Oryctolagus cuniculus: one gene and its partner. The main gene of each other region encodes a partner of the protein of the gene in region 2 in a complex. Links are inferred from orthologs where the notes say so. Each region holds a gene or a part of one and is shown on either strand. Other genes may lie near its edges. The genes, in order: UNC13A and RIMS2.

Region 1 (14,831 bases), on a different chromosome or scaffold from region 2:
CGTGGGGGAGGGGCGGGCGACGATGGGCCAGGGTCTCCTTCCCTCCCCTACCTTCATCCGGAAGAAGGTGATGCTGGTGAGCAGGTCCACGGTGGACTTGAGGTCCTGCAGCCTCTCGGGACTGCTGGCGGGGAAGTTGTTCTGTCGGGAGGGGTGGGGAGTTGGGATCACACAGGCTGAGAGCGGGTAGAGACGCGGCTTCGGCGGTGGTCGGCGGTGGGGAGGGGGCTGCCAGGGTCCCCCAATTTCTCCCAGGACTCAGGGCTGACGACAACCCCTTCCCACAGTTGCGCGATCACGCTTGGCTGCAGGGGCGCACGCTGGGGGCTGGCGCGGCGCAGAAGTGCACACGCATGCGCAGAGGGACACGCGTGCACGCGCCTGTGTTCGCGCGCCCGGGCACGGGGCTGCGCCTGTCCTCACCCGGTACATGGAGAGGTCGATCCGCAGCGAGTTGTGCAGCTGGTCCAGGAGCTTCACAAAGCGCTCTTTCTGTGGGTGGAGGCGGACGTGGTGGGCGCGGGGGTCGGGGAGCGGGGCCGCCGCCGTGGCTTGGTGGGTGGGGCTTACTGCAGACGGAACTGAGCCTTCCCCACGTCCCGACCCCAGTCCACAGGGCGGTGACGGGTGCAGTCACACAGCAAGGCCGGGCCCAGAGTCGGGGGGACCCAGTAGCGCGGCGCCGGGCCAGGCCGCCCCCCGCCGGCCCCCGCCCCACACTGACCCCGAAGTTGGAGGCGGCGAAGCGGTCGGAGGCGGACACGTTGGTGGAGGCGGTGGTGTGCGCGTAGTAGGCGTTGATGTTGGCCAGCAGCGTGCTCATGACGGCCGGCGCCCCGGGGCACATGTACTTGGAGCACAGGCAGGCGAAGTGGCTGCGAGGGGGCGGCAGATGCTGGGCCCGAGCGGGGCCTCCGAGACGGCCCCAGCACGGCCCCCCACCGCTGTCACCCCCGCCACGCGCACTGCTTCCCTGGCCCTGCCTCTCTCACCGCTGTCACTCACCCTGCCACGCCCACTGCCCCTGGCCACGCCCCTTACATCATGGCTTAGTAGATGGACTCACTCAGGGGCCCCGCCTCTCACCGCTGTCACTCCCCGCCACGCCCACTGCCCCTGGCCACGCCCCTTACATCATGGCTTAGTACATGGACTCACTCCGGGGCCCCGCCTCTCTCACCGCTGTCACTCACTCCCCGCCACGCCCACTTCCCCTGGCCCCGCCTCTCTCACAGCCGTCACTCAACCCCACGCCCACTTCCTCCCTGGCCCCGCCTCTCTCACCTCTGTCGCTCACCCCACCACGCCCACTCCCAGGCCCCACCTCCCTCACTGCTGTCACTCCCACCACGCCCACTGCCCCTGGCCACGCCCCTTACGTCATGGCTTGGTAGATGGACTCGACGCCGTAGCGCATGGCGAACTCGTCCACGATCTCCTGCGCCGTCTCGTCGTAGTAAACCTTCCAGGCGTCGTCGCCCTTGGCGTCCGGGATCCGCACCACGCCGTTGTTCTGCACGTCTGTCACGAAGTGGAACAGGTTCTGCGGCCACGGGGGAGGGCGGTTACGGCCACGGGCGCCGGCGCCGGCGCTGCTGTCCGTCAGCTCACGTCCGTGCAGCCTCGCGGCCACCCGGGATGCTCCACCCACCCATCAAGGACCCGAGTCCCCGGACAGGGCTGCAGTTGGGGCGGGCTTCCCGGCGGAGGGGGCTTCCTCTGCGTGGACAGGAGGCCCGGGCGGCGGCCGGCGGGGCTCACCTCGTGCAGGCAGGTGTACTGCACGTGGTACGGGGCCACCTTCTCCTCGCCCTTGATCTCCACGCTGATGTGCAGCCGGATGGCGCCCGACACGGCCGACTTGTCCGTGCGCTTGTCTGAGGGCGAGGGCGTGGGGGCACGTGAGGTCCGCAGCCCGGCGGCCTCCGTGTGCATGCGTGTGCGTGTGTGTCCTGTGTGCACGTGTGTGTACGTGTGTGCACGTGTGTCTGTGCGCGCGCATGTGTGAGGTTCCACGGCCCCTTGGACCCCTAGAATCAGACTCTGGGTCCTCACCTCGTTGAGCTCCCAGCCTTGTGCCTCCTCCCTCGGACTAGAACGTCTTAGGCGCTCTGCCCTCAGACCGGGGTCAGTGCCAGGGTCTCGGCCTCCCTCCTCAGTCCGGGGTCCGCGCCTCCCCCCTCAGACCGGGTCCCCGGGATTCCTGGGGTGAGCCCCCCTGCCCCACCGGAACTCAGAGTGTCCTGGGCTCCCTCAGCCCAGACACCTGCCCACAGCAGCCTGGGGCTCGGGGGCTCTGCCTCCTCCCTCGGGCTGGGAGTCACAGACTTGGCCTCCACCCTCTGATTCGGCTCCCCCACCAGACTCCTCTGCTGGATCCTTGGGCCCCGCCCCGCTCCGCCCTGAGCCCCGGCCCCCCCCCCCCCGCCCACCCAGGTTGTACCACACAAGGTCTTTGATCTCTGGCTGGCTCCCTGGGCTCCGCCCCGCCCCTCCCGGGCCCCGCCCACGCCCGCCCCGCCCCCTGCTCACCCAGGTTGTACCACACGTCCATCTCGCCGCTGAGCGTGCGCACCTCGATGATCGTCTGCCCCAGGAAGTCGTCGGACTCGCGCTTGAACCGCTGCTTCACGCGGGACTTGATGTCATCGTCCTCGTCCCACACTCGCACCTTGATGCGGTCCGAGGAGTTGTGGCACTCGCTGCGGAGCGGGGCGGGGTGTGGTCAGGCAGGGGCGGGGCCGCCGGGAGCCCCACCCCCAGGCCGGGCGCTCACAAGTGGAAATTCTCCTCCCACACAGGGTTCAGGTTCCCGTAGATGGTCTTCGTGCGCTTCTTGGTCTTCCCGACCTGCACCGTGACGTAGGGGTCACTGGACCCCGTCTTGTCCTTGGCCTGCAGGCCCTGGGCACAGACCACTGGAACACACACAGGACAGGGGCCGGGGCTAGGCACGGGGACGAGGCCTGCTGGGCGGGGAGCCCTCGCCGCACGCCCTGGGCCCGAGGTCCCCAGAAGTCCCAGTCCCCGCTGCCCAGGGCGTCCCCTGCCGGCCGCATCGCGCTCAGCGCCGCCCTCGGACACCGGGGCTGGGCGGGCGCGCCCCCTGCTGGCCGCCGCGCGCGTGCGCACCAGTGATGCTGATCTTGGCCGACCACTTGGACGTGCCGTCCAGCACGCTCTGCTTCACGGCCTTCATCTGCTGCGCGTGCGCGCTCTTGCTCACGGCGAACACCTCCTGGATGAGCGCGAAGATCTCGGGCTTGTTGCGCTCGCGGATCTTCATGCGGTCCTTGAGCACCATGATGATGTTCTGCGTGCGGTCCTCCGCCCCGTGCTTGGAGCTCTTCTCCGCGGCGCCTGTGGACACGGCCGCACTGTCCCGGGCACCGCCAGCCCCGCCCCGAGGGCCCCGCCCACGCCGAGGCCCCGCCCCGCCCCTCCGGCCCCTCCCCTCGGCCCCAAGCTTGGAGCTCTTCTCCGCGGCGCCTGTGGACGCGGCCGCACTGTCCCGGGCACCGCCAGCCCCGCCCCGAGGGCCCCGCCTCACGGAGGCCGGGCAAATACCGAGGCCCAGCCCAGCCCACGCCCCGCCCCTGCGGCCCCGCCCTGCCCCTCTGGCATGACCCAGCCCCCTCCAGCACCTCACCGCCCCCTGAAGTCCCACCCACCTCTGCTGTCCCACTCCTCTGGTCCTGTCCCACCCATTATGGCCTTGCTCCACCCCGTCCCGCCAGGCCATGCCCTGCCCTGTCGCCCTGCTGCCACTGACCCGCCCCTCCGGCCCCGCCCACATCGAGGCCCCACCCACCCCTCCAGTCCCGCCCCTCGGTCCCGTGCTTGGAGCTCTTTTCCGCTTTGCCTGTGGACGCGGCCTCACTGTCCTGGGCACCGCCAGCCCCGCCCCCAAGGGCCCTGCCTCGCCGCCCTCCAACCCCGCCCATGCCGAGGCCCCACCCCGCCCTCTGGCCCCGCCCTGTCTCATTGCCTCCGCCCCACCCCAGGACTTTGAGCCCTGCCCCGCCTCTTCACTGCTGCCCTGCCCCTCTGGCCCTACCCCGCCCCATTGCCATGGCCCCACCCCCACCCTGCCCCACCGCACCCCACTGCTGCTGCCCCGCCCCTCTGGCCTGGCCCCACTCTGCCTTGTTGCCCTGCCCCACCCTGCCCCGCCCCACTGCCGCAGCGCCAGCCCCGCCGGCCCCGCCCTGCCCCGCCACCCCTCCCCTGGCCCCGTCCCACTCACACTGCCCTGCCCCTCTGGCCTGGCCCTTCCGTGCCCCATCGCCACAGCCCCGCCCAGGCCTCGCCCCCGTCCCGGTCCCACCCCTGCCCTGTCCCGGGCCCGCCCCGCCCCACTGCTGCTGCCCCGCCCCTCTGAGTGGTCCCGCCCCATCGCCCCACCCCGCCCCTCCGGCCGCCTTCTGCCTTGTTGCCCCGCCCCACCACTGCCCTGCCCCGCGCTTCCGGCCCCGCCCCACTCACGCTGCAGGCAGTCGGCGTTGAGCAGGTCCTGGCACTTCTCGTGGCACTTGACCCCGCACTCGGTGCAGCGCATGCCCTGCCTCGCGATGCCCCACAACAGCCCCTCGCACTCGTAGCAGTAGGTGGGCGTGGTCGCCGTCCACACCTCGAAGTTGTGCGGCGTGGTGCACGAGATGGGGTAGATCAGCGCCTGCAGGGTCTTCTTGTACACGTGGTTCTTCTGCGGGGGAGGGAGGGGCTTGTGCGGCGCTCCCGGGGTGGGGGGGGGGTCCCAGCCCGCCGACGCCGCCGCGGCCCACGCACCAGCTCCTCGTTGTTAAGCGTGCTGGACGCCAGGGCCGACGTGATGCCCGCCTTCCGGGACTGCACCAGCGACTGTGCGGGCCGCAGGCGCCCGGGGGTCCCGGGCAGCGAGGGGCCAACGAGGCCGCAGGACGCATTCGCAGCCACGACCGCCCGCCGGGGGCAGCGTCAGAGCAGGAGGCGACAGAGGATCCCGGTCAGAGCGGGTCCTGGGCGCCCCCTCCCCGCGGGGTCCTCCCAGAGCCCACGGGTGGGTCAGGGCTGCATGGAGGGGTCCGGGGTGGGCGGAGACCCAGGTCACTCACCATGGCCTGAAGGGTCCACGCAGCACACGGGGCGGAAGTCAGACCGCGTTAGCCGCGGAGGTCGGCTTGGCCAGCCCGGGCCTCTGGTCCCCATGTCCCCTCTGGCCCCCGGCCTCCAGCCCCAGCTCCAGCCCCCAGGTCCATCCCTGGCCCCCGCCCCCCACCCCGCTCCTCGGCCCCAGCCCCCCGCTCCCAGGTCCACCCCCAGCCCCTGCCTCCGGCCCCCAGGCCTGCCCCTGGCTCCCAGCCCCCACCCATTCCAGCTCCCAGGTCCGCCCCCTGCCCCCCCCCGCCCCCAGGTCCGCGCCCAGGCCCCAAGTTTACCCCAGCCCCCAGGTCCGCCCCTCGCTCCTGACCCCAGGCCCCCCGCCCCTGATCCGCCCCTGCAGTGGGGGGGCGGGGTCTGTGCCCCGCCCCGTCCGACGGCGCTCACCAGGTCGCTCACGAGCGGGATGGGCTTCCTCTTGCGGATGTCCGGCATGCTGTCGATGATGATCAGGCCGCCCCCGGGGCTGCGGAGACCCAGGGCCCCGCCTGAGGCTCGGCCGCACCCGACTGCCCCTCGCCCCAGGACCCCACGCTGGTTCGAGGCGGGCATCGCGGGGTGGGTTGGGCGCTGCTCCCCGCCCCTCGCCCGGGGGCCCCACTCACCCGCCTTTGAACCACAGCGAGTTGGACATCTCTCCTGCCCCCCGAGCCTGCGGGACAGTCGGATGGACGGGTGTGGTCAGCGTGGCCGGGGAGCAGGAGGTGCAGGGCGTGGGCGGGGCCGGCCCCGTGTGGGCGTGGCGTGGGCGTGACCAGGGGGCTGATGGGACTGGGGCTGGCGCATGCGCACGGAGCCCCGGGCAGGGCCAGGCTGGTAGAGGCATTGAGGGCGTTTAGGCTGAGCACTGGTGAGGCCAGCAAAGGCGGGACAGAGGCAGGGTGTGCACAGAGCACTGGGCGTGGCCAGGGTGACCACTGGGCGTGGCTTTGGGCGTGGCTTAGCTCGGATGGGTGTGGTATTGGGCATTGGGCGTGGCCAGGAAGGTGTGGGTAGGGTGTAGGGTGTGGCCATGCTGATTTGAGAGGAACACTGGGCTGACGGAGCTGGCGTGGGCGGGGCCTGGATGGTGTAGGTGAGGCCTAGTTGAAGTGGGCGGGGCCGGCCCAGCATGCACAGGCCGTGGGTGGAGCTGGTCTGGCATGGGAGGGGCCGGGCAGGAGTGGGAGGGAGTGTGGGCGGGGCCTGGCTGGCATGGGCGGGGCCAGAGTGGGCGGGGCGTGGGGCCCGCATGGGCTGGGCCTTCTGGCATGGGCGGGGCCGGGGCGCTCGCTCACCTCCTGCAGCTGCAGCCGCACCTTGTTGAAGGCCCGCAGCCAGTTGGCCTTGGCCCTGGACATCGAGTCCTGGCCCTGCCGGTCCTCCTCGTCCTCTCGGGGCCTGAAACTGAGGCAGGGGCCGCGCGGGCTCCGGGCCGGCTCTCCGCGCCTCCCGGCCTGGGCCCCCCACTCCGCCAGCCCCTTGGATGCCCTCCCTCCTGGCCCGCGGCCCCCCCCTGGCTGGCCCAGCTGCCCTGACCCCGCCTCCGGCCCCAGCCCTGGGACCGCTCCCTGACCTCTGACCTCCCCAGCCCCCAGCCCCCGTGGCTACCTCTCCTCGGCCGTGGGGGGCTCAGCCGGCTCGGCTCTGGGCAGCTCCTCGGGCGCGGCGGGCGTGGCCTCAGAGGGCGGGGCGGGGGCCGTGTCCTCGCCGGGGGCGGCCGCCGGGAAGCTGATTCGTTTGAAGTCCTTGGGCTCGGTCACGGCCGCCTCCGCGCGCTGGGCGTAGCTGCCCACGTCGTCCGGCACCTCCTCCTCCTCCTCCTCCTCCTCCTCTTCTTCCTCCTCCTCCTCCTCCTCCTCGGGCAGCGGCTCCTCCTCCTCCAGGAAGTCCTCCAGGTCCTCGTCCAGCTCCTCATCCTGGTCCCAGCGCGGCGAGTCTTTGCAGCTCACCGAGCTGTGGCACGAGTGGTAGGAGTCCGGGTCCCGCTCGTCGCCCAGCTCCGAGCCCCGCAGGCTCTGCTCCTCGGGGTCGAAGTCCTCGCTCAGCTGCGAGCTGCCCTGGCTCAGCTCCCCGGAGGAGGCGTAGCGGCTGCTGCCCGTGGGGCTGCGGGACGGCGGCGGGGGCTCAGGATCGGGGGCCAGGCCGCCGAAGCCCCCCCACTGGCGCCCAGCCCCGCCCACACACGTGGACATAGCACGGATCCTGCAGCGGGGGTGGGGCCGCCTGAGCCCCGCCCACGCCCCGCCCTCTCTACCCACACCCCGCCCACGCCCTGTGGACAGAGCGCCCATCCTGAGTGGGGTTCCCCTCGCTCCCCTTGGAGGCCCCCGCCGGCCTCTCCCACCGCACCTGCCCTCACCCCACCCCTCCAGCGTCCTCGCCGCTCCCCCAGAGCCCACCCCCGGGCCTTTGCACCTGCTTCACCTGCCCAACTCCACACAGGCTTTGTCATGTCTTCGGGGGTCTCCTGCACTCCCCGACCAGCTCAGGCCCCGCCCCCAAGCACGGACAGGATGAGCCGGGGCCACCCTCCAGCCACTCAACCAACATTATCACCGCCGCTCTTTTTTTTTTTTTTTGACAGGCAGAGTGGACAGTGAGAGAGAGAGACAGAGAGAGAAAGGTCTTCCTTTGCCGTTGGTTCACCCTCCAATGGCCGCCGCTGCAGCCGGCGCACCGCGCTGATCCGATGGCAGGAGCCAGGATCCAGGTGCTTTTCCTGGTCTCCCATGGGATGCAGGGCCCAAGCACCTGGGCCATCCTCTACTGCACTCCCTGGCCATAGCAGAGAGCTGGCCTGGATCACCGCCGCTCTTAAAAATACCACCCGTCTGGGGCCGCGAGGTGTAGCGGGTAAAGCCCCCGCCTGCAGTGCCGGCATCCCATACGGATGCCGGTTGGAGTCCCGGCTGCTCCACTTCCCATCCAGCTCTCTGCTGTGGCCTGGGAAAGCAGTAGAAGATGGCCGAAGCGCTTGGGGCCCTGCACCCACGTGGGAGACCCAGAAGCAGCTCCTGGTTCCTGGCTTCAGATCAGCTCAGCTCCGGTCATTGAGAGCATTTGGTCAGGGAACCAGCGGATGGAAGACCTCTCTCTCTCTCTCCCCCTCTCTCTCTATAACTCTGCCTCTCAAATAAAAAAAAAAAAAAACCCTCTCCAGGCTGTGACTCGGTCCCCTGGCCGCCAGGATGTTGTAGGGACCGGCGGGGGTGGGGGGCGTGCGGAGGTCTCCCTCTGATCCTGGGCTGCCCCTAGGAACAGCTGGGAGGCAGGAAGGGACCAGAGCTCCCCCTGCCGGTGAAAATTCAGAGTGCACACCGGCCGTGTCACCGGCCCCCCCGGGCTGGGCGGGGCCTGCTTCCCTGAGCTTGGACCTGAGACTAGGTGGTCTCCAAGACTTGGGGACCTGATCCAGTCGGGGCCTCCACCAGGCTCCTCGGTCCTCGCCCCCTCCAGGCCCTTCCTGCATGACCCGGTGCCATCCAGCCCTCCAGCCTCACGCTGGAACTCGCTTTCCCTCTGGGGAGGCCTCGTTGGTGGGCTTCCATGCACCCTCCTCCAGGAAGCCCTCTGCAGGCCTCCCGCCAGCTGAGCCCCACGGAGCGGGAGAAGAGTGTCCGTGTCTGGCCTGTCTCCCCCAGAATGTCCAGTGCCGGGCAGCCTGGGCAGTCTCCCTCACCCATGGCCACGGCCCAGGGTCAGCTGAGGGCCTGCTTCCTACCCCCCACTCCTTCCCGGGAAATGTCAGCGCGGGCAGACTCCCGGGGAGGCCCCACACACGTCAATCACCCAGCGTCCGCGCTACCGCCAGCACCACAGCGCCCCCTGCTGGACACCTGCTAACGCTCGTCCTCGCGGTGGCCACGCCCTGCCCTCTCTGGGCGACGGTTCGGCCACACGGAGCCCATTCCAGACGCCACCTGTTCCCCTGTGGGCCCTGCGGGACACCGCCCGGTGCCTTCCGAACACTCGGCCTGCCTAACACCGCGTTGCTCAGTGTCCAACCTGCCCATCCGGCCAGGGCGGGCGGGGGCGGGGGGCCGGAGCAGACTCCAGGCTCACGGAGCAACCCAGCGCCGGGCAGTGCCTGGCCCACAAGGGCCAGAGGACCTGGATTCAAGGGAGTGGAGACGGTCGCCGGGTAAACCTGTGGCCGCCCCTGACTCACCGTGGCCCGGTTGTGCGGGCGAGAACGGCGGAGGCCATGCCCACCTGGAGGACACCACGCCCACCGGGCAGGGAGGCCACACCCACATTGTAAGACCAGGGCCCATGGGGTGCGGGTCCACGCCCACACTATAGGCCACGCCCACCGGGAGGCCGCCCGGGCCACGCCCACGGCGGGAGGCGGGGCCGCCGCTACCTGAGCGCCCGCGGCTCGGAGAAGTCGTCGTAGCTGGGCACCGAGTCGCTGTAGGACTCGCGCGAGCCCAGGGGCGGCGGGCGCACGGCGTACTGGTGCACCGAGGCGTTGGGCTGCGACGTGGTGTAGTAGGGCGGCGGCATGCTGTTGCTCGTCTCGCTGCGATAGTCGCTGTCGCGGTCGTCCACGGCGCTGTCGGGGTCGTCGTCTGGGGGGGCGGGGTGAGGATGGGGAGGGGCGGGGTGAGGACAGGGAGGGGCGGGGTGAGGACGGGGAGGGGCGGGGTGAGGATGGGGAGGGGCGGGGTGAGGACGGGGAGGGGCGGGGTGAGGATGGGGAGGGGCGGGGTGAGGATGGGGAGGGGCGGGGTGAGGACAGGGAGGGGCGGGGTGAGGATGGGGAGGGGCGGGGTGAGGACGGGGAGGGGCGGGGTGAGGATGGGGAGGGGGCCGAGGAGGGGTCGCGAAGCCTGCTGAGCCCTCAGCCTGGCCCCAGAGGCAGAGCCACACCCCCACCCGAGCTGAAGGACTAGCCCCGCCCCGGCCCCGCCCCCGGCTCCCGCGGGGTGGGGCTGGCGCCGAGACCCCCGAGCCTAACTTACTCTGCTGCTCGCCCCAGCCGAAGTAATTCCAGTTGCCTGGGGAGGGAAGGGGCAGGGGCGGTGAACAGCGGGGCGGGGCGTAGGGGCGCCCCTCCCCCAGCCGCGAGTCCCTCCCCTCCACCCTGACCCTTCGCTCAGCTCATGGGAGGATGACGGGGGGGGGGGGAATTCCCGATTTCCCGTGAGGCCACAAGGCGCCTCGGGGTGGACACACAGGGTGCGGGGCGTGGGTGCGTGGATTTCTGACTTCGGGGTCCGAGGCCAGCGCCCCCCCAGCCTAGGAGCGCTCAGCCTCCAGCCTCCGCCGGGGACCCAGCGAGGGGCGGCCAGCAGCCCGAAGGCGCACAGCGTGGGAGGCAGGGGCCGCGGGGAGGACCCACTCCCCGTGGCCAGTGCCCGCGGCAGCCCAGGGACTCTGCCCGGCGCCGACACTGGGCCCGGGCGCGCTGGCTCCAGTGCACCTGCCCGGGTCTCCCCCCCCCCATGGCCCTGTGCGCTAGGGAGGGGGCGCGGGAGCCCCTCCAGGGACCACGTGTCACCCCCGAGTTGCTGTGGGGGCGGGGCCAGGGGGCGGGGCCCCGCACACTCACAGCACTGGTTGCTGGGCGCTGGCAGCGGCTTATCCTGCTCGTCCGAGAACGAATACTGCGGGAGAGGGCGCCTGTCGCGGGGCGGCCGGGAGGCTGGGGGCTTCCTGGCCCCCGGGCCTGTCCCAGCCTCCCCTCTGGACAAGGGTGCAGGTGCAGCCGGTAGGCCCGGTGTCACGGGCCCCGGCACCCCCGGTGGGCGCCGGTTCGAGTCCCAGCTGCCCCACTTCCGACCCAGCGCCCTGCTGTGGCCTGGGGAAGCAGCGGGTGAGGGCCCAGGAGCCGCAGTGGCCGGAGCTGGGAGCCCGCAGAGGGTGACACGGAGCCGAGTCGGGACCAGGGCCAGCGAGTGGAGGGGGCGGGAAGACCCGGCGGATCCCGGCCCAGCCGCCAGCGCCCACCTCGTCCTGGTCGCGCATGGCGTTCAGCTGCTCCAGCTTCTTGGCCCAGTAGCGCGCCTCCTCCTCCGGGATGTCTGCAGGCAGAGTGACCAGTGAGCCCGGCCCCGCCCCCGCCCAGGCCCCGCCCTAGCCAAGCCCCGCCCTAGCTGAGTCCCGCCCCAGCCTGGCCCCACCCCGGCTCCAACCCCGGCCTGGCCCCGCCCCTACTGAGCTCCTGGCCAAGCCCCCAGCCTGGCTCTGCCCCCACCCAGGCCTGGCCCTGCCCCAGCTGAGTCCTCGGCCCCGCCCCCAGGCCTGGCTCCACCCCGACTGAGCACTGGCTCCGACCCCAATCTTGACCACACGTTGGAGGAGCCCTGATCCTGCCCCCAGGCCTGGCCCCACGCCGGCTGAGTCTCCGCCCCCTGTCTGTCCTGGCCCCGCCCTCCAACCTGGCCCAGCTCTGGTGCTCACCCCAAGCCCCCACCCCACCCCGGGCGCCCCCCTAGAGGGGCAGGTGAGCCGAGAGGCGGGGCTCCCGCGCCTCAGGCACTGACCCAGGGGCAGCTCGAAGCGCGTGTCCAGCAGGATGCGGTGGAAGGTGGGGTCCTTGGTGCCGCAGATCTCGCTGTCGGCCATGATGACCTGGGAGTCGAGCGTCAGCCACTCCCCGGGGCCCTCCTGCGGGACACGGTGGGGGGTGGTGCACCTGCTGCACCTGGCGGCCCAGGTCACGACTCAGTCCCAGGGGCCCCAGCCCGGCATGGCCACGCCCACCTCAGAGGAGGGGGTGGGGGAGCCTGGCTCCTCCCACTGTGCAGGGAGGACCCCCCTCTCCCAGTTCAGGGCCAGCGAGGCACTGAGCAGACGGGGCCACTCTGACCCCTGGCATCTCCGTCTCTTAGGGTACCAGGAACCCGGGGTCCCCGAAGGCTTCGCATGGACTGTCACACCTCCTTCCTCTGTGCGCCCTGAGCCGGGAGGAGCAAGAGTGGACACAGGCAACCCCAGGCCTGGGAGGTCCAGGCCAGGCCAGGGGGAGGGCTGGAGGACCCAGGGGGGAGCTTGGAGGGCTTCCTGGAGGAGGGGCCACAGAGGGTGCACTGGGGGTGTGGCCAAGGGGGCCAGGTGTGCGCAGGGTCTCACAAGGGGGATCCCACCGAGGTGAGGAGGGCTTGGAGGGCCGAGGCCCAGGGACTGGGCTGTGGGGGCGGGGAGGTGACTGACAGGTTCTGGTCCAGCACCTGCTGCCCAGCTGGGACCCACGATACGTGGCCCCTTACTCCTCCTGGGGCCGTAACATGTCGGAGCTGGGTCCAGGGCTGCCTAGCTCCGGCCGCGTGTCCCTAGTGCCTTGCAGCTGGAGGGGGACCACGTATGTATGTTTCGGCCCCCAGGAGCGACTTGCCGATGGGGCCCTTGACCAGATGTGAGTCCTTGCTCCTTGAGCGGAACGCAGGGTGTAGGCCAGGAGCCCCCGGGCCCTGTGCCCACCTCATTGGACTGGCGGATGGTGCGCAGCGGGATCCACACGGTGCCCACCATGGTGTCCCAGATGAGGCCCTTGTTCCACACCTCCACCGTCAGCCCCAGGTCCAGCCGGTTGATCTCGCTGTGGGGAGAGGGGAGGTCCCCCCCGGGGAGGGGACGGAGGCTCAGAGGTCAGCCCAGTCCCCAGGACAGCAGAGCGCGGCGGGCGCCTCCCCCTGCTGGGCGGGCCGGGAAGGGGCCCCAACACCCCAGCAGGGCCACCAGGCGCGCCCGCGGCTCAAGCACTCCCCCTGCTGGCTTCTCACTGGAATGACGCCCAGGTGGGGGCCTGGGGAGCGGGAGACCCTGCGCGTGGGCGAACTCAGAACACAGAGACCCACAGCAGCGGCTGGCGCTGGGGCCTGGTGGTGAAGCTGCCACCTGCAGTGCCCGTGTCCCACAGGGGAGCCGGTTCGAGTCCTGGCTGCTCCACTTCCCATCCAGCTCTCTGCTGTAGCCTGGGAAAGCAGTGGAAGATGGCCCAAGTCCCTGGACCCCTGCACCCACGTGGGAGACCCGGATGGAGCTCCTGGCTCCTAGCTTCGGATCAGCTCAGCTCCGGCCGTTTCGGCCATCTGGGGAGTGAACCAGCGGAAGGAGGCTCTGCCTGTCTCTCTCTCTAACTCTGCCTCTCAAATAAATAAATCTTTTTTTATTTTATTTTATTTTTTTTTGACAGGCAGAGTGGACAGTGAGAGAGAGAGACAGAGAGAAAGGTCTTCCTTTGCCGTTGGTTCACCCTCCAATGGCCGCCACGGCCAGCGCACTGCGGCCGGCACACCGTGCTGATCCGATGGCAGGAGCCAGGTGCTTCTCCTGGTCTCCCATGGGGTGCAGGGCCCAAGGACTTGGGCCATCCTCCACTGCACTCCCTGGCCACAGCAGAGAGCTGGCCTGGAAGAGGGGCAACCGGGACAGAATCCAGCGCCCCGACCGGGACTAGAACCCTGTGTGCCGGCGCCGCAAGGTGGAGGATTAGCCTAGTGAGCCGCGGCGCCGGCCATAAATAAATCTTTAAAAAAAAATCACAGCTTGGGGCCAGCAGTCAGGGTGGGCTTCCCTGGGGAGGAGCCAGCTGGGGTGTGCGGGATTCCTGGGGCGGGTTCAAGCTGGGTGCGCGCAGGAGGCGAGGGGGCCCCAGGCGAGCAGGCGCGTGGGGGCGTACGGAGGGCTCTGGCCACTGTCCGAGGTCCAGGAGCCGCAGCCAGGCCTGGGCCGGGAGCAGTGGACTAGGACTGCAGGTTTTAAATTAGGCCCCTGGCTGCCCTGAGCAGAGATCGTGGGGGGTGGAGGGCACAGGAGGCAGGGCTGGGCGGGGCCTGGGCGGGGCGGGCGCTCACAACATGAAGTCCTGCTCCCAGCTGGGCTGGCTCCCGCGCACCGCCACGGTCGTGCTCTTCACATTCTGCACCTTGAGCGTCACGTAGGTGTTGAACTTCTCTGCGGCCGGGAGAGCGGGGTCAGCGCCGGGCCTGGGGATGGGGCTCCTGCACATCCGGGCCGCCCTGGGCAGCTCCGACCCGGCCCCGCGGGAACCCTGGCTCAGGGCGATCTGGATCCCCGTTGGCCCCGCCCCCCGCGCAGCAGGTGCAGCGGCCAGCTGTCAGTCTCCGCTCAGGCCCGCCCCCAGCCTCCCCGACAGACGGACAGATGGACAGCGCAGGACAGGAGACGGCACTCACCTTGGGCACCGTCAAACTTGGCTTTTTTGACTGTGGACAGAGGCAGGGAAGGGAGCAGGCGGGAGGGAGACGGAGACCCCGACATCCGGACAGGAGAGGGGGCGCGAGACCCCCGGGAGAGACAGAAACAACAGGACAGGGAGAGGGGCGGAGGCAGAGAGGAGGGGAGAGAGAGACACAGGCCATCAGACAGCGAGCCCCGGGGCAGGAGGGGGTGGGATGCTGCCCCGCCCGCCGAGCCCCCCCCCCATTCAGCAGGAGTCCTGGGCCTCCTCCAGGGAGTCCTCAGGATCGCCCCCGAGGGAGGAGGAAGAGGAGCATCGAGGAGGAAGAGAGACGCTCTCCCGTGGTCCCCTGTCAGGGGGAGGAGACGCGGTCCTTGAAGGTCTGAGTCCGTCCCACCTAGGGTCCCCAGGGCGGCCGGAGGGCACTCCGAGGCGGGGAGGTGAACCCGAATACTTGCCAGGGCCCCAGGGCTGAGCCTTGGGCCTCAGAGCCCCCACCCCGCGATCCACCACCCTGCGCCGCGCCTCGCACTCCCGCCTCGCCCACGCCCCGCCCCCTGCA
Region 2 (14,441 bases):
AGTGTTATCGTAACCAGCAACCTGTTCCTCCCTTGCTGTACCCTGTCCCACCACGCTGTTTGTTAGCACCTAGACTGCTCTACAAGGAAGACATAGTCGATGTCTGTGGTCGTATTTATAGTTCAGTAAGTCATTTGAGAAAGGCACGAATTCCCCATGGATAAAGTGGGGGATGTGCATGGTGGATTATGGCCAGGTGCAGTGGCTTCACAATGGATTGAAGAACCTGGTGTCTTGTCAGAGAATGCAGGGTTGCATCTGGATATGCCACTTCTCAGATGGGAGACCTTGGTCACATTAGTCAAACTGTTTGAACTACCATTTTCTTATCTGCAGACTGAAGACTGTGACACTACTTGCCTCATAAGGTAATCATAAGGGTTAACTTAAATAACATATTAACTTTGTAAACTATAAGGTGCTACGTGACAGTCATTATTATTCACATTAATATTACCCACAGAGAGTTAGGAAACTTTGATCTTGGCCCTACTTTGGTCAACATTTCACAAAGACATGGATGAAGACTGAGGAAATGCCCTGATCAGGTTTGTGGGTAGTGGAAGGTAGTATGTTTAGTGAGTTTTGAAGCTTTAGCATACAACAGCGTGAATGCCAGGCTTAGGAGAGTCCTAATGTTTTGGTAGACTGGAATGCTAGACAAAACAAGTAAGAAACAATTTAGCAAGAATGAACTTTTTAATGTGTGCATGGCTAAAAATGAAATGCCACAAGGACAGAATGAGCAAGCAATTGCCATGATGGCCAATCTGAGAGATTTGGTTGACCAGTAGCCCAGTCTGACATGTGAAGTGGCTGCAAAAAGAGGCAACAGGTTCACAAGTGGCACCTATAGAAGCAGAGTCCATAGTACTTGGACCCATACCCATCTACTGTCATTTCCTTAATTCTGGAGAGGGTGGATAGAGGATAAGTAAGATGATAAGGTTTCTAGTAAGAGACATGTGGCTGGAGAGATTAGAAGCATCCAGAGAGAATAGAAGCATAATTGCAAATCTCACCTCTACAGCAATAGTCAACACGTATTTGGTCTTACATGCTTGATATTGTGCTAAGTCTCTTTTCCATGTTACTTCATTTCATCCTCTCAACAGGTGAGCCAGGTATTATTATTATTTCCCCTTCCCTCATTGTATAGATGAGAAAACAGAATAAATGACTCAATCAAGGTTACATGACTAGTGAGGGAACACATACTTGAACTTGGGCATTTTTATCCAGAACAAGCACTTTTAGCCAACATGCTATTCTTCTTCCTATCAATTGGGAATAATGTCATTGAATTTAAAATATTTGAAGGACAATCTGTGGGAGAGGGACAGGCCGTATTTCTAGAAGGCAGTACGAGTCCCAGGAAGTACAGAATACCGGAAGGGATATTTAGGCCAAGCGTTAAGAAGAGCCAGATACAAACTATGGAGTGAAATGTGAAATGCATTGCACAGTTTATTTCTCCATCCACTTACCAAGCAGGGGCTGCATGCCCACCATTAAGGGTTTTGCCTAATGTTATGAGGTTGCCATAGGTAACCTCAATGATTCCTCCAATATCTTACAACTTCATTGGACTTGTTGACCAAATGTATTAAGACTAATGACCTCAAGCAGCAGGAACCCCAACTAACTACAGCTAAAATGTGTGGGCTGTCTTGGAAGAGCAAAGAGGCAGCTGGTCTCAACCATAATGGAATCAAGAATGTGACATCTGTAGGACTGTCTCTCCAATTCTTGCCTCCAGTTGACTTTGTGGAGTTTCTTCTATCATAAATGAACGTTTATCATACATAAGAAAACAGCAGCCACCAACAGTTCCTCATTTCTATTTTTTCTATCTAATAGTTTTTGTCACTGGAGATGGACTGCCTCTTTGGCAGGAAAGCAAAGTAAATAAAACAAAAATGAACCTTCACAGGCAAGGGCACAGGTCGACCTAGTTTAAGAGTCTACAACTCCACATCATTCAATAGGGACAGAGGAATGGGATTATTTACAACGTGACAGATCTCATGGGATCAACAGGGATAGATCAGAAAAGGAAACACACTGAACCACAGGGTGCCCTGTCCCAAGGCAAAAAGACAGGAATCTGGTGCTCAAAGGACAGAAGGGCACTATAGGCTTTTTGATTCAATCTTATGCAAATTATGAACATAAACTTCAGGACTCGGGAATCTTCTAGGTTGATGATAGTGATCTTTCAGGCAATATCTGGAAGGGGCATTCACAGTTAAGGCCCTACAATATGCTCAGGTCTTAATCTTGAAAACAGAACCACAGGCTTTGGTTCCTGTAGTCAAAGACCTAACCATTTAATGGGATTAAGGGCTGAGTCGCACTCAGAACCATGTTAGATATAATTACCTAGAGAATTAGCTCTTACTAGTTATCTCATTTACAAAGAGATCTCACATCGGGTACAAGCAAAAAGCTCTCAGTGGTTTTAGAAACAGCCCAGGATGGAGAAATCTGTATCTACTTGTTCACTATTCATTCACTCACAAGCACTGTAAGAGATACTGTAAGATAAAAAATCATAGACTCATGAGTCTGTTCTCTCAAATACCTCCCTCGCTCTTCTCTCTGGAATATTCTGCATCTTAGTCTGGCCTCCTGCTACCATCATCTCCTGTTATTTAACCCCTATCCATCATGCTAGATGTCAGCCTCTGCTGCTTTGATTGGGTTAAATGCCGTGTTGTATCCTCCCTTCTATCCTCAGGGCTTCACGTTAGGCAAGTTACCACACTTGTCATCTTTCATTGCCTGTATCTTCTTCAGTAGAATGAAATGTTCTCTTCACTATGCCTGGACTAGTGCTTCAGAAATAACAGACTAAACATTGCTTGACAGTTATTTATTGAGTACTTATGTGGTAAGCATTGTTCTTGGTTCTTAGAGAACAGAAGAAAAAAGGGGCCAGTGCTATGCTGTAGCAGGTAATGCTTGTGGTGCCAGCATCCCATATGGGCACCAGTTGCTGGCTGCTCTACTTCCAATGTAGCTCCCAGCTAATGGCCTGGGAAAACAGAGGAAGACGGCCCAAGTACTTGGGCCCCTGCACCCACAGGGGAGACCTGGAAGTTCTTGGCTCTTGGCTTTGAACGTGTCCAGCTCCAACCATTGTGGCCATTTGGGGAGTGAACCAGCAGATGGAGGATTTCTCTCTCTCTCTCTCTCTCTTGCTCTCTTTCTCTGTAGCTATGCCTTTCGGATAAATAAATTTTTTTTAAAAAGAATAGATATGGTTCATAAAGACGCTTATATGTTGGTTAAGTGTTGATTTAATGAAAGCAGAGTATATAGCTCAAACTCCTTATTTCCCAGATGAGGAAATGAATTCCACAGCAATTAAATGACCTGAGTCAAACCACATGGAAAATTTGAGTGGCACACTTTTTAAAAAATTGGTTCATTTACTTAAAATTTTCCTCCTGCACACTGCTTCTCATTTTATAAACCAAAGGTGGGTGTGTGAACTTCTATTTATTTAGTCCATGGATGCCAGCAGGACATTGAGGGAGGGCACCATGTGTTGAGTGAATGTAAACAAACATGGACAGAGTATGATTTTATGTGTACAGAACAGTAAAGGTTTAGTCTGGGATAGGCACACAGCATTGGTGATTTCTTGCCCAATTCTGTCACAGACCTTACAAGAGGGACCTTCATGCTCCTTATTGTTGCTTGGGGAACACTGGCACCTGGGGTCCCTGGAAGAGTGAAGGACTTGGCATCAACGGCAGCGACAATTTTAGGGTTCAGTCGGGAACTGCTAGTATGGCTCAGTTCTGAGCTGGGAGTCATGAGAAGCACTACCATAGGCCACTTTTGAGAAAGACAGGCTTTTCAAGAGAAGGCATATGAGAGAGGCAAGGGGATTTTTTTTTTTTTTATCATGGGAGTGTATGAACAGCCAAGATATAGCTCACTAGAAGAGGGAGCAAATCCTGAATAATGAAATATGGGAGTGGTTTGGGCAACTGGACTGGAATTGAGTCCTTGGGAATGGAGGAAATGGTTGTCTTGAAGACCGGAGAGCACTAGGATTGGGTTTCAGTTGGATAACTGGGAAGTGAGAGACCAAAGTAGCTCTTACATGTGGACTCTGGGGAGGGTGCCAGGGATGGGACACCGCTGAGGCCCCTTTTTCTCTCATTTTGGGGAAACGCCCTAGAAGGATATGGAGAAGCTCTCACCCATTTACACTCACACAGCGGAGCCAGGCCCTGGCAGCATGCGCTCCTCACCCCACAGCGCTGGGCAGAGAGACGCAGAAGCATACATCACGGCCACCTCTGGCATCTTTTTGCCCAGGAAAAGAGCAGAGCCTGTGCATGATTCTTGGTAACTGCCATCAGTCACGGCCATGACTAACTCAGAATCTCACTCCTCTCACCCCCATACAACTTGTCACTGAATCATTTCACCAGAGAACACCTCAATCCAGTAACAACCTTAAAACAAAACAAAACAAAAACAAACAAACGAAAAACAACCAGCAACTTCCAGTGAAGTGAGCAGAGTCTTTGGTACTTGAAGAAAATGCTCTCCTGAGGGCTACTGGCTAAGACCAGCAGTCCACTTATGCCATGCAGAGGTAGGAAATGACGACTGTGTGGTCTTTAAATGACAAGCGAGTTTAGGGACATGCTGTGGCAGGCTGGGGATGTGTGGGAAGAAGTCAGAGAAAGCACTGCACACAACATCTGTAAAGAAAATGTTTTATTGAAAGTGTTAATACCATCACCAGAATGAATTTGATTTACATTAGTTGGTGTTTGTTACAGGACTAATCTGCCCTTTTTTTCCCAACTGAAATTCCCTTTACTTTGAAAACATACTATGTACAGGGCAGCAATGGTCACTGGCATGGTGCTATTTACATGACTAAACCACAAGTTGAGGTGCAGACATGTGAAAATTAAAAAAAAAAATACACCAACTTTTAAATAAATACTGCATAATGACAAGTATGTACAAATATTCCATTCAGTCATGTCCTTCTTATTAAAATTAGAAATAATTTGTATAGGAATATGCACAAAAGATTATGTGACTGCATCTTGCTATCAGGAGAATGGTGAATGTTTACTCTAAGGGGTAGTGTAGACACTACAGGCCTATTAAATCAATTGTTGCTGGTACACAGATGTCTAAATTATTTCAATAAAGTTTTATCCATTCTTTTAACAACTTTACCTGGGTCCATCATAGATCACAGAACGTCAAGACACAGTCTCGGTGTATTTCATATTGCACCACATAAAGAGAAGGCATTTTTAGTGATACTCATTTTTAACTTTTGCACCATATCAAGCACAACAGTTTTTAATGGTCAGCACTGAATTAAAAAAATAAAATAAAAACAAAAGCAAAGAAAAGAAATTGTGCATGGCCTTACTTTAAATAAATGGAATGTATATGTGTTTCAAAAGCTATTATAAGAAATTTAAATCAATCTGTAAGAATGTATTATTAAAGTGTATGTCAACAACCAGAAAATATGGGTGGCTGATTACGTTAACCAGTGACGTTTCCCCCAGATAGGGGAACTTAGGAGAAATTTGACCTTGCAGCACCACCCAATGGTAATCACTGTCTGTAAAAGCAAAGGCAGGGGTTTTGACTTTAGGGATTTGCACATAGACTTTTGGTGATGGCATCAAAGAACTATTAATAGGCATACTGACTTTTTTTGAGTCACCTAAAAATTGGAGCTTTAAAATTCTTGCAAATTTATGTTTACTATATATTCTTTAGAAATATAATTTGTGAAAAATTGAATTTCACTACAGAAAAAATGAATTAATAAACAGCCCTGTGTTTCAGGGCTCCAAATTTTTAGCAGTGTTTCTATACACATAGTAAATGGAAACTGGCTAAAGAAACTGCTTTAACTGATTAGAAAACAAAACAAAACCTAAGACCTTCTATAAATAATACTTTAACCCCTGTATGAATAATGCTGGTGTTAAAATAAATTCATTAGACATTACAATGGCCACATGATTTTAGGATTTTCCTGTAAACTCAACTTTGAGGGTCAACAAAAAATTACCATGCACTGTACAAATAAATTGCAAAAGTTCAGATATCTTCTTTGTCAAATACATGCTGACTTACTTCAATTTACTCCCAAGTCATGTTGCAAAATCCTTTTCAACATGCTTGAAATAAAAGAAAGCTCTTAAATAGTTGTTTTCCCTTGAGAAATTCATAAATTCAGAAGCTTTGATAGCTCTGAATCAAACATGGGGTATAAGAGGGGATCAGATGAAAAATTTGTAACTTTTTAGTACAAGATTCACTCTGGTAGGGAGAAAGAAAAGAGTAAAAGAGGGAGAAGAGGAAAGAGAGAGAAGAGGAAGGAAGATGCAAAAAATTTGCACATATGGAACTTCATAAGATTTGTATATTTAACAGGGAAATAAATTGAATCTATTACACTCATTTGTCACATAAAGAGAATTTTAAGTATCTTCTAGAAAGTACTTTCATTTTGTAATGTCTGCCAAAACACAGACTATGATTAAAGAATAAAACATGGTGTGTTCTTTGTATCACCCTGTTGCATTCTCTTCCCCTTTTAAAACCATGCACTAGTGAAATTTATTTTTAAAAATAATATAAATTGTTGAAAATGGCTGATTTTTTATTGTTTTTTTTTTTTTTGCAAGTTGCAGCCCCAAGAAAATAATTTAAGTATTCAGCTAATCGGTGTCCATGCAAAAAGAGTTTCTTTAATTTCATTCAGGACAGCATTGCCACAGAATCTTGTTTCCCGAGTCCAGAGTCTCTTGGCATTAGGGAATGACGGGTTGACAGGAGCTACCGAGTCTGCCACTGTCCCTGCTGGACTGACCGCTCAGGTTCACCATCCAGAGGGGGGCTGATGCTTTGTTCCTGACCACTTCTTTGGTCTTCTGCTTTTCACCTGATGCTTCCTAGAACTTCTCTCCTAGATCTGTCACATAGCTTCATGGCTGTACAGCTCCATTTCTGTGGCATAACGGGGCTTTGGGTTCAGATAAATGAAGAAAAAGGTAAGATAAAAATATAAAGGTGCCGTTGAAAAGGGCTTCTGTTGCATGAAACTGACTGATTCTTTGAGATTAATCCATGGCTTCAGATTGGACCAAAAATGAGTGTCATTGAACTCTAAACCTGATAGTTCTTCATAGTTCTGCTCTTTCACCTGAGGGCCTTCGTTAGGGCACAATGTGTGCAACTTCCTCTGAGAACACAGGATCGCGTGGTATCCCTAGAAACAGGCTCAGAAGACACAACATTAAGCATGCAGTGTTACCAGGGTTGGCGACCTGTGATTTTTTTTTTTTTTTGTAACGCTGGTTGCTGTGACAACAGTTTTACAGCTGCTATGAACGAGAGTAAGAAGGTCCAGTTGAACTTTCCAGAGATGACTGGGAAGCTCTTCTCGTCAGAGGGGCCAGAGTTGGATCTACTAGGGAGGAAGGGGGGAAAAGTTTGAACCATCCAATCACCATATTGGATAGTTCCAGTTCATCTAAAAGTATCTGGGCCACTCCCATGAAGGATTTGTGATCCATGCGACCATAATCTCCCCAGACGATAATCTGTTGGCAAAATTAAAAATAATGTTAGCATAATCATGTATATAACAAAAGTCTTGTAAAGTACTCTGAACAATAAAACACATTCAGTTAGTGTTCCAACATCAAAGACAAACTTAAGTAGTGGCATTTGACTAATGGAGTAGCTTTCTTTAACTTTTGGAATCCAAAAGTACATTAGAACTGTCCCAGAGTGCTAAGATCATAAGCCGTGCAGGGAGATTGGAGTTTATGTGTGATGGGTGTTCGCGAGTCATTTAAAGAAGAGGACAGTGTGTGTAGTTTTATGGTACTGACCACTGCTTCGATGTTTCCAACATATTTCAGTCGTGAGAAACAGAAAACAATGTGACGGAGAGATAACTGGGTCTAAAGTCCGACTCTGTGAAAAGATGTTCTGCGGCCAGGGGATACAGAGCTAAGTAAATACCTGTAGAACTTTTCCTTGGGGACTCTCTTCAAAAGACAACAGCTGCTGGTAAAGTGGTTCCAGCGTTTTTCTTGCCACTTTTGTTTTCTTTTTGGCTATGCACACTCCGTTATCTAGTAGATACACCTTGACATACGGTGCTTGGGAAAGAGAGCACAAAGGAGAGAGCACGTGATGAGCTGTGGCGGTGGCATGCCCAGTGTACTCCTGGCTGACAGCCGCAATGGGTTAATCTCTGGCTGAGAGGGTGAGCAGCCATCAAAAGTCACCGGCCTTCCCACATTATTGAAAAACTACTCAATAGACAATTGGTAACTGTCAACCATACAGAGAGTCTTAGGCAATGTTGCCAAAACCTCTGACTTCATTATTATTTTGCTATCAACAGGTTACATAGATTTACAAATTGCATTCAATGAGAAATGCTTCCAGTTCCAACAGGACTCAAGAGAGATGTCTTACTCATTCTTCAACTCATCAACACATAAATGTAAGTACACCTGCTTTAACTCACCCATCCTCACACATCTGTGGGGAGCAGCTCGGACTGGACTAAGTTACTGGAATTAAGACTTATTCTATGCATCTGCTCTCCCACAATATGGCGCTGGGAGAGAAGAAAACAGCTTTTACACAGCTGCCTCCAGTTCAACCAATAAACTGTAGGACTTGCTCCTGATTGGAGAGCAGCGTACTCGGCGTGTGGGCAGCCGAGTTAGGATTGGCGGAGGAGGACTATAAAGGAGGAGAGAGACGGCATGCACCAGGAACATCTAAGAGGAACATCTAAGGGGAACGCCTGTGCAGCCCCCGAGAGAGCCGGCCGGCGGTGTGCCGCTCCCCTGCGGAAGTGGGGAATGTGGCCAGGGGGAACTGCCCTTCCACGGAGGTGGAAGGGATAGTAGCCAACCCGGGAAGAACCAGCAGCAAACCCGGGGAGGGCCGAGCAGACGAAAGAACAGCGCAGAGTCCTGTGTCGTTCCTCCACGAAGACGGGGAGCGACATAATGGTGCCGTGACTCGGATATGAAGCCTAGGCAGGGCTTAGTGTCGTTCCCCCACGAAGACGGGGAGCGACACACATCACTTATTATCACTCAAAAGCCTTTGCTTGTTGGTGACCATGTGGGTACAAGACAGTGATGGGGTTTTATGTGTTATGTTGAAAGTAGCTGGGAAGAGGCAACTAATTATGAATTCTGCTTAGCATTTAACTGGAAAACATAGTAACAGAATCATTTCCTGGCATGTGTAAATCATGGTGTTGTTTACAGCAGAGAGCTGACTAGCTCCCAGACTTATACAAAGGCAATTCTCCTAATCACCACTTCAAGGCTGTACAATGAGTAACATACAGTAATGAATAACATAATTCAAAATGTCTGCAAGAATAGGGAAGTTAAGAGATTCAAAATTACAAGTCACCAGTGAAGGTGCTGAGGCTAAGACCTGCATTTATTTCAGAATCCTCCTGAGTGATTCTTTTATACATCTGCTCCAACAACTTCTACACAATGCATTTGGAGTCACGGTGACATTTGCCATGGCTTCAGGCATCTTAGACTGTAATGACATTTCAGCAGGAAATATGTGGCATAAAAATTTATAACAGTGCCTCTTTTTGTTTATAAATTATAGGAAGCGAAAGTCTTCTCATTAGAATACCCAGCAGACAACAGGTTCATGCTCTGGGCGGGGCCTGCACCGGCTTTTACTCTAATCCCAGAGCACTAGCGAGTCCTCAGAAGAAATTCTGAAGCTCTGGATCAACGGAAGAGTAACACAAACTCCAATTCACAAGAAAAAAGAGCTTTTTATGTGCATGTTGTGATGAAATGGATTATCCAAATGTGGCAGCTTTGACTTTGCAGTGGTTTCTACCACGTGTGATTATAGGTAACAATTAACATTATTGTATGCTAAACTGATCTTCTGTATATAAGGAGAATCAAAAGTGAAGCTTGATGTGATTGGAAGGGGAGAGGGAGTGGGAAAGGGGAGGGTTGCAGGTGGGAGGGATGTTATGGGGGGGAAGCCATTGTAATCCATAAGCTGTACTTTGGAAATTTATATTCATTAAATAAAAGTTAAAAAAAAAACAATTAACATTATCTCCAACAGCTCACCCTCGTTGAAATGCTCACTTATGGGGCTGGCACTGTGGCACACTGGGGTAAGCTGCTGCCTGCAGTGCCAGCATCCCTTCTGGTCACTGGGTTGAGTCTGGCTGTCCCACTTCCGATTCAGCTCCCTGTAATGTGCCGTGGGAAGGCAGTAGAAGATGGCCCAAGTACTTGGACCCCTGTACCCTGTGGGAGACCCAAAAGAAGCTCCAGGCTCCTGGCTTCGGATTGGCCCAGCTGTGGCTACTGCAGCCATTTGGGGAGTGAACCTGAGGATGGGAGATCTCTCTCTGTCTCGCTTGCTCTCCCTCCCTGCCTCTCCATCCCTGTTGCTCTGTAACTGTGACTCTCAAATAGACAATCTTAAAAAAAAATGCTCACTTAGGATAAACACCATGATTACTACAGCCCCAAATCTGTCAGACAATTCACCCATCTTTGAGTATCCTTCATTGTCTAAAAAACAAAGTTTTCAGCATTTAATCCAAAGTTTGTTAGTGGAAATAAGACAAATTATGGACAAAAATAGGAAAATTTCTTCTGTTTTTACCTGGCAGTGTCTTGGAACCTGGTTTTACAACAAGGCCACGGGCCCGAATGATTTCCACCTCCAACTGTCCCTTTTTGTCCATCATTCCTACCTGGATGTCACCTATGGGCATGGGGAGAAGGAACAAACATGTCTTAATATACAAACGCAGCAAGAAAAATGCTAGTGCTAAAGACTATGGTATGACACCATTGATCATTTCCTATATATTTTCTTAAAAAATTCAAATAAATTTAAAATTTTAGCCATGATGTCTTCCTTCAAAAAAGCAGTAAAATTATAACGGAAAAACAGGAATCTTCCTTACTGTTAAAATCTAAGAAACTTTATTCTTGCTGATAATATTGTTAAAGACTCTATGAAATTTAGAGAATGTACTTTTTAATAGCATAACATGAAAACAATGAAATAATGTGGCAATAATTCTTACCCATTGCAGGTGTCGCCAGGGTCTGGCGTCCTACCAATTGAGCAGGCCCAAGGCCATCCAGGAAATCACTGAATTGGCTGTCAGAGGCCAGGCGGACACCCGGGAAAATCAGACTGAAAGCAAAACAACATATGGGATTAACCCTTCACTATCCATATATTCCAGGCAAGCTCAAGTCTCCCTCCAGCCTCCTTCATGTGTCAGGATAGTCAGTGTGGCTGACTGCCCACTTAGACTTATCCCCAACATCCCACTCTGCTTCCCTTGGCTCTTCCTCCACGTTGGCTAGCAGCCCCTGTAAGCCACCAGAAGCACCTGTCACACTGGACTGCGAGCTCCTAGTCTTTCTCTCCTTTGGTCTGGAGGACAGGGCCTGGGATTTCTCTGTGAAACCACTCGGTCTACACATGCACTGAGCACTTACTTCACGCCAGGCTTTATCCTATTTAATCCACCTGGCTTAGCTGTGAGAGCGGTTCTATGGTTTATCACATTTTATAAATGAAAAAACTCTTCTGGATCATTCCCCTCCATGTAGAAATATGCTGTTGATTCTGTCACTTGACCAAAAAAAAAAAAAAAAAATAATCCCTTTCCTGACTCTACTTCCCTCTCTCCAGCTACAATTCCTTTTCTTGTCTGGGAACTCCTTGCAAAACTTCTGAGTGCTGTAGTCCATTTCTTTCCTTTTGAAACTCTAATCATTTTTCATTTTCACCACTCCACTATAACTTTCCTGTTCTGATCATTAGTCAAACTTACCTAATGACCACAGTGGAAAGCCCAGCTGTTATTATTCATCTAACTTAATGTATTAGCAGTACTGGGTATGTTGATCCGCCCCTCTTACTTGGAACACCTTCTGCACTTCTTGGATTCCATAGCCTCCTAAGTTTCCTCTTTCTTCCTTCTGCCACTCTTCCTTAGTTTCCTTTGCCAGTTCTGCCACTAGATACAGGAGCTCTATCCTTACATTTTCTTTATGTCTGAATTTCCTTGGTGATCTCATACAATCTCAAGGTTTTAAATGCCATCTCTGCTGCTATTACCTAGACTGCTGTCTCCAGCTCGGGCCTCTCTTTTGAGCCACAGAACTGCATTTCAACTGCTTAGTCTACAGATCTGCTTGGAAATCTGTATAACAGGACAGAAAACTTAACCTGAAACTCAAGCGAAACTTGAATCCCCTCCACAACAAACTCTGGTCCTCTCAGAGGATTCCCATTTTGATAAATGATAACTCTGTTCTTCCAGTTGTTCAACCTGACATTGATCTTTCTTCTTTCCCGGTTATAGACTGAGTTGTCTTCTCCCAACATGCGTGTGTTCAAGCTTGAATGCCCAACCTGACTGCATGTGAACGAAGCTTTTAAAGAGATAAAGCTAAAAGGGGTCATAAGAGGGCAGCCCTATTCCAATATGCCTGGTGTCCTTACAGGAAGAGGAGACAGCAGTGGAAGCAGAGGCAAGGCCACGAGAAGACAGAGGAGACCATCCTCTGTATCTCTCTTCCTTGCTTTATTTTTCTCCTTAGTACTTACAATGCCTAATCTCCTATATATTTTATTAGATTTTCTTGTACATACATACATTTTACATTTTTTTTTCTTGTTTATTGCCTATCTTCTCCATTATGTGGAAAGTTTGATGAGGGTAGGGTCTTTCATCTGGCCGGCTCACTGCTAGATCTCTAGCTCCTAGAGCTATGCATGGGATATTGTAAGCACGTAATTAATAAATACTTAAGCTCAATCAATTAAAATGAAGCTCAGAAAAATCAAATAACTTGCTCAATGTTCTACAGCACCAAAAGAAAATTAAACAACCAAACAGATGAGAATCTAGGTATATATGATTGAAAAACTCTTGGCCTTAAGTATTGAGACTGACTTCCTTGTATGACTTACAGCCTCAACTCATGGCAGGGTAATTGAAACCTTAGAAGGTATGGTGATATATTTTGGATAAATTTATGAATATTCATCTCATTTCTCCATTAAAACTATAAATATCTGGAGCTGGAGCCACAGTTTAAAGGTTTATGCCTGTCACAGTATCTTCCTAACACAGTATCGTACAAAGGTCAGTGTGCTTGATGAACATCTATTTTTCATTTGATCCTTCACCTCATTATAGACTTCCTTGATGAACTTCCTTGATAAAATCGATTTCTTTCCCCCACCTCAACTGCTAAATATTCAATTAATAAAAATGCTTCAGTCTATTTCTAAAAGCACATAAGTCTTTATAAATGTATGGAAGCTATCTATGCCTCTTATATTTACATAGTTGTGCTAGACACACAATCCTTAGGGTACACCTTTACTGCTATGGCAATAGCTCCTCTGGCCTCACATCCATGAACTGGCAGCATCTATGTTGTTAACCATCTAGTGCTCCCATGGAGATGATACAGTGAGTTCAGTACACTCTACTTTCCTCTCTCAATGTTCTTTACAGTCCCATTCACAGATCTCTAGTTGCTAATTGCTGCTAATTTGTTGGTGACAGAGCTACAAACTCTTTAAACTGCTTTAAAAATATCTCTGGAAGTTGATTCAAAGGAAAGCTCCATGATAACTAAAAGATAAAAAGGCTTATCAACTTTCTTGGTGGCATTTCTTTTTGACTACTTAACACAAGTAAATTAATACTAAATAATTAGAATTATTTGCTACTGCATCATAAAAACTAGGTATCAGAAATTCACATGTTTTTAGTAATGACTGTTAAAGCAAAGATTTAAAAATTAGTCTTGTTTGCATGGTGTGGTATGTGTGCTTATTATTTTTGTGCTTTTATATATTATTTAAAGCTAGGGCAAAGTATTTTTTTTTTTTTTGCATGTAATGTGAGAGTCACATTTTAGCATCTTGCCATTAAAGCAAAACACTTTATCCCAAAATTTATTTCCCTGGATATAAAAAGCCAGATATGTCACATCACCCAGTGGGAGGTGAGCCAAGTTCTCTTCACAGGAAATCAGTCAGTGAAAACTAGGACGGTGCCATGAAGCACGTGGGTTGACTTTTATGAAAGCAGAGAGTGAGATCGAGAAAAGGGTCCCTGGCAAGACTTGGAAGAGGCACACATCATGGCCAGCCTCACTCACTTTCCTTCGGAGCTATAGCTGTTCATGCTGCCGTCTGTGGATTCTCGGCTGGCTTGGCGAGTCATCCAGTTCCTCATCTCCACTGCCAGGCCTGTCTCTGTACTTCTTTGGACAGTGCTCCGTAGTTTTTTCCCACCTGCTTCTGCCAGGACAGAAAACAAAAGGTATCACAGTTTTGCCATC

What was found.
Region 1: the proteins of RIMS2 (region 2) and UNC13A are in contact, whole or in part, in a crystal structure (PDB 2CJS), measured with the Rattus norvegicus proteins. The link is inferred for Oryctolagus cuniculus from reciprocal best matches to the Homo sapiens genes RIMS2 and UNC13A. Residues at the interface, in XP_063118965.1 of Rattus norvegicus: Asp102, Gly103, Cys104, Ser109, Gln112, Val123, Leu125, Ser127, Asn128, Lys129, Val134, Met135, Trp136; in NP_074052.2 of Rattus norvegicus: Tyr23, Ile36, Trp65, Leu69, Ile70, Trp71, Asp72, Thr73, Met74.

What each region holds. Positions count from the first base shown.
Region 1 is NC_091447.1:65,393,684-65,408,514, forward strand, and holds part of UNC13A (protein unc-13 homolog A), read right to left. Parts: intron 14,295-14,831; coding exon 14,265-14,294; intron 14,023-14,264; coding exon 13,923-14,022; intron 12,665-13,922; coding exon 12,547-12,664; intron 11,734-12,546; coding exon 11,610-11,733; intron 11,148-11,609; coding exon 11,074-11,147; intron 10,731-11,073; coding exon 10,676-10,730; intron 10,122-10,675; coding exon 10,086-10,121; intron 9,693-10,085; coding exon 9,485-9,692; intron 7,225-9,484; coding exon 6,730-7,224; intron 6,526-6,729; coding exon 6,417-6,525; intron 5,792-6,416; coding exon 5,745-5,791; intron 5,606-5,744; coding exon 5,527-5,605; intron 5,100-5,526; coding exon 5,094-5,099; intron 4,861-5,093; coding exon 4,789-4,860; intron 4,706-4,788; coding exon 4,486-4,705; intron 3,361-4,485; coding exon 3,133-3,360; intron 2,919-3,132; coding exon 2,777-2,918; intron 2,703-2,776; coding exon 2,533-2,702; intron 1,878-2,532; coding exon 1,762-1,877; intron 1,544-1,761; coding exon 1,380-1,543; and 7 more. UniProt on the Homo sapiens protein: Plays a role in vesicle maturation during exocytosis as a target of the diacylglycerol second messenger pathway.
Region 2 is NC_091437.1:129,439,791-129,454,231, reverse strand, and holds the end of RIMS2 (regulating synaptic membrane exocytosis protein 2), read right to left. Parts: intron 14,401-14,441; coding exon 14,259-14,400; intron 11,260-14,258; coding exon 11,147-11,259; intron 10,819-11,146; coding exon 10,717-10,818; intron 8,184-10,716; coding exon 8,044-8,183; intron 7,617-8,043; coding exon 7,398-7,616; 3' UTR 7,324-7,397; downstream 1-7,323. UniProt on the Homo sapiens protein: Rab effector involved in exocytosis. May act as scaffold protein. Plays a role in dendrite formation by melanocytes.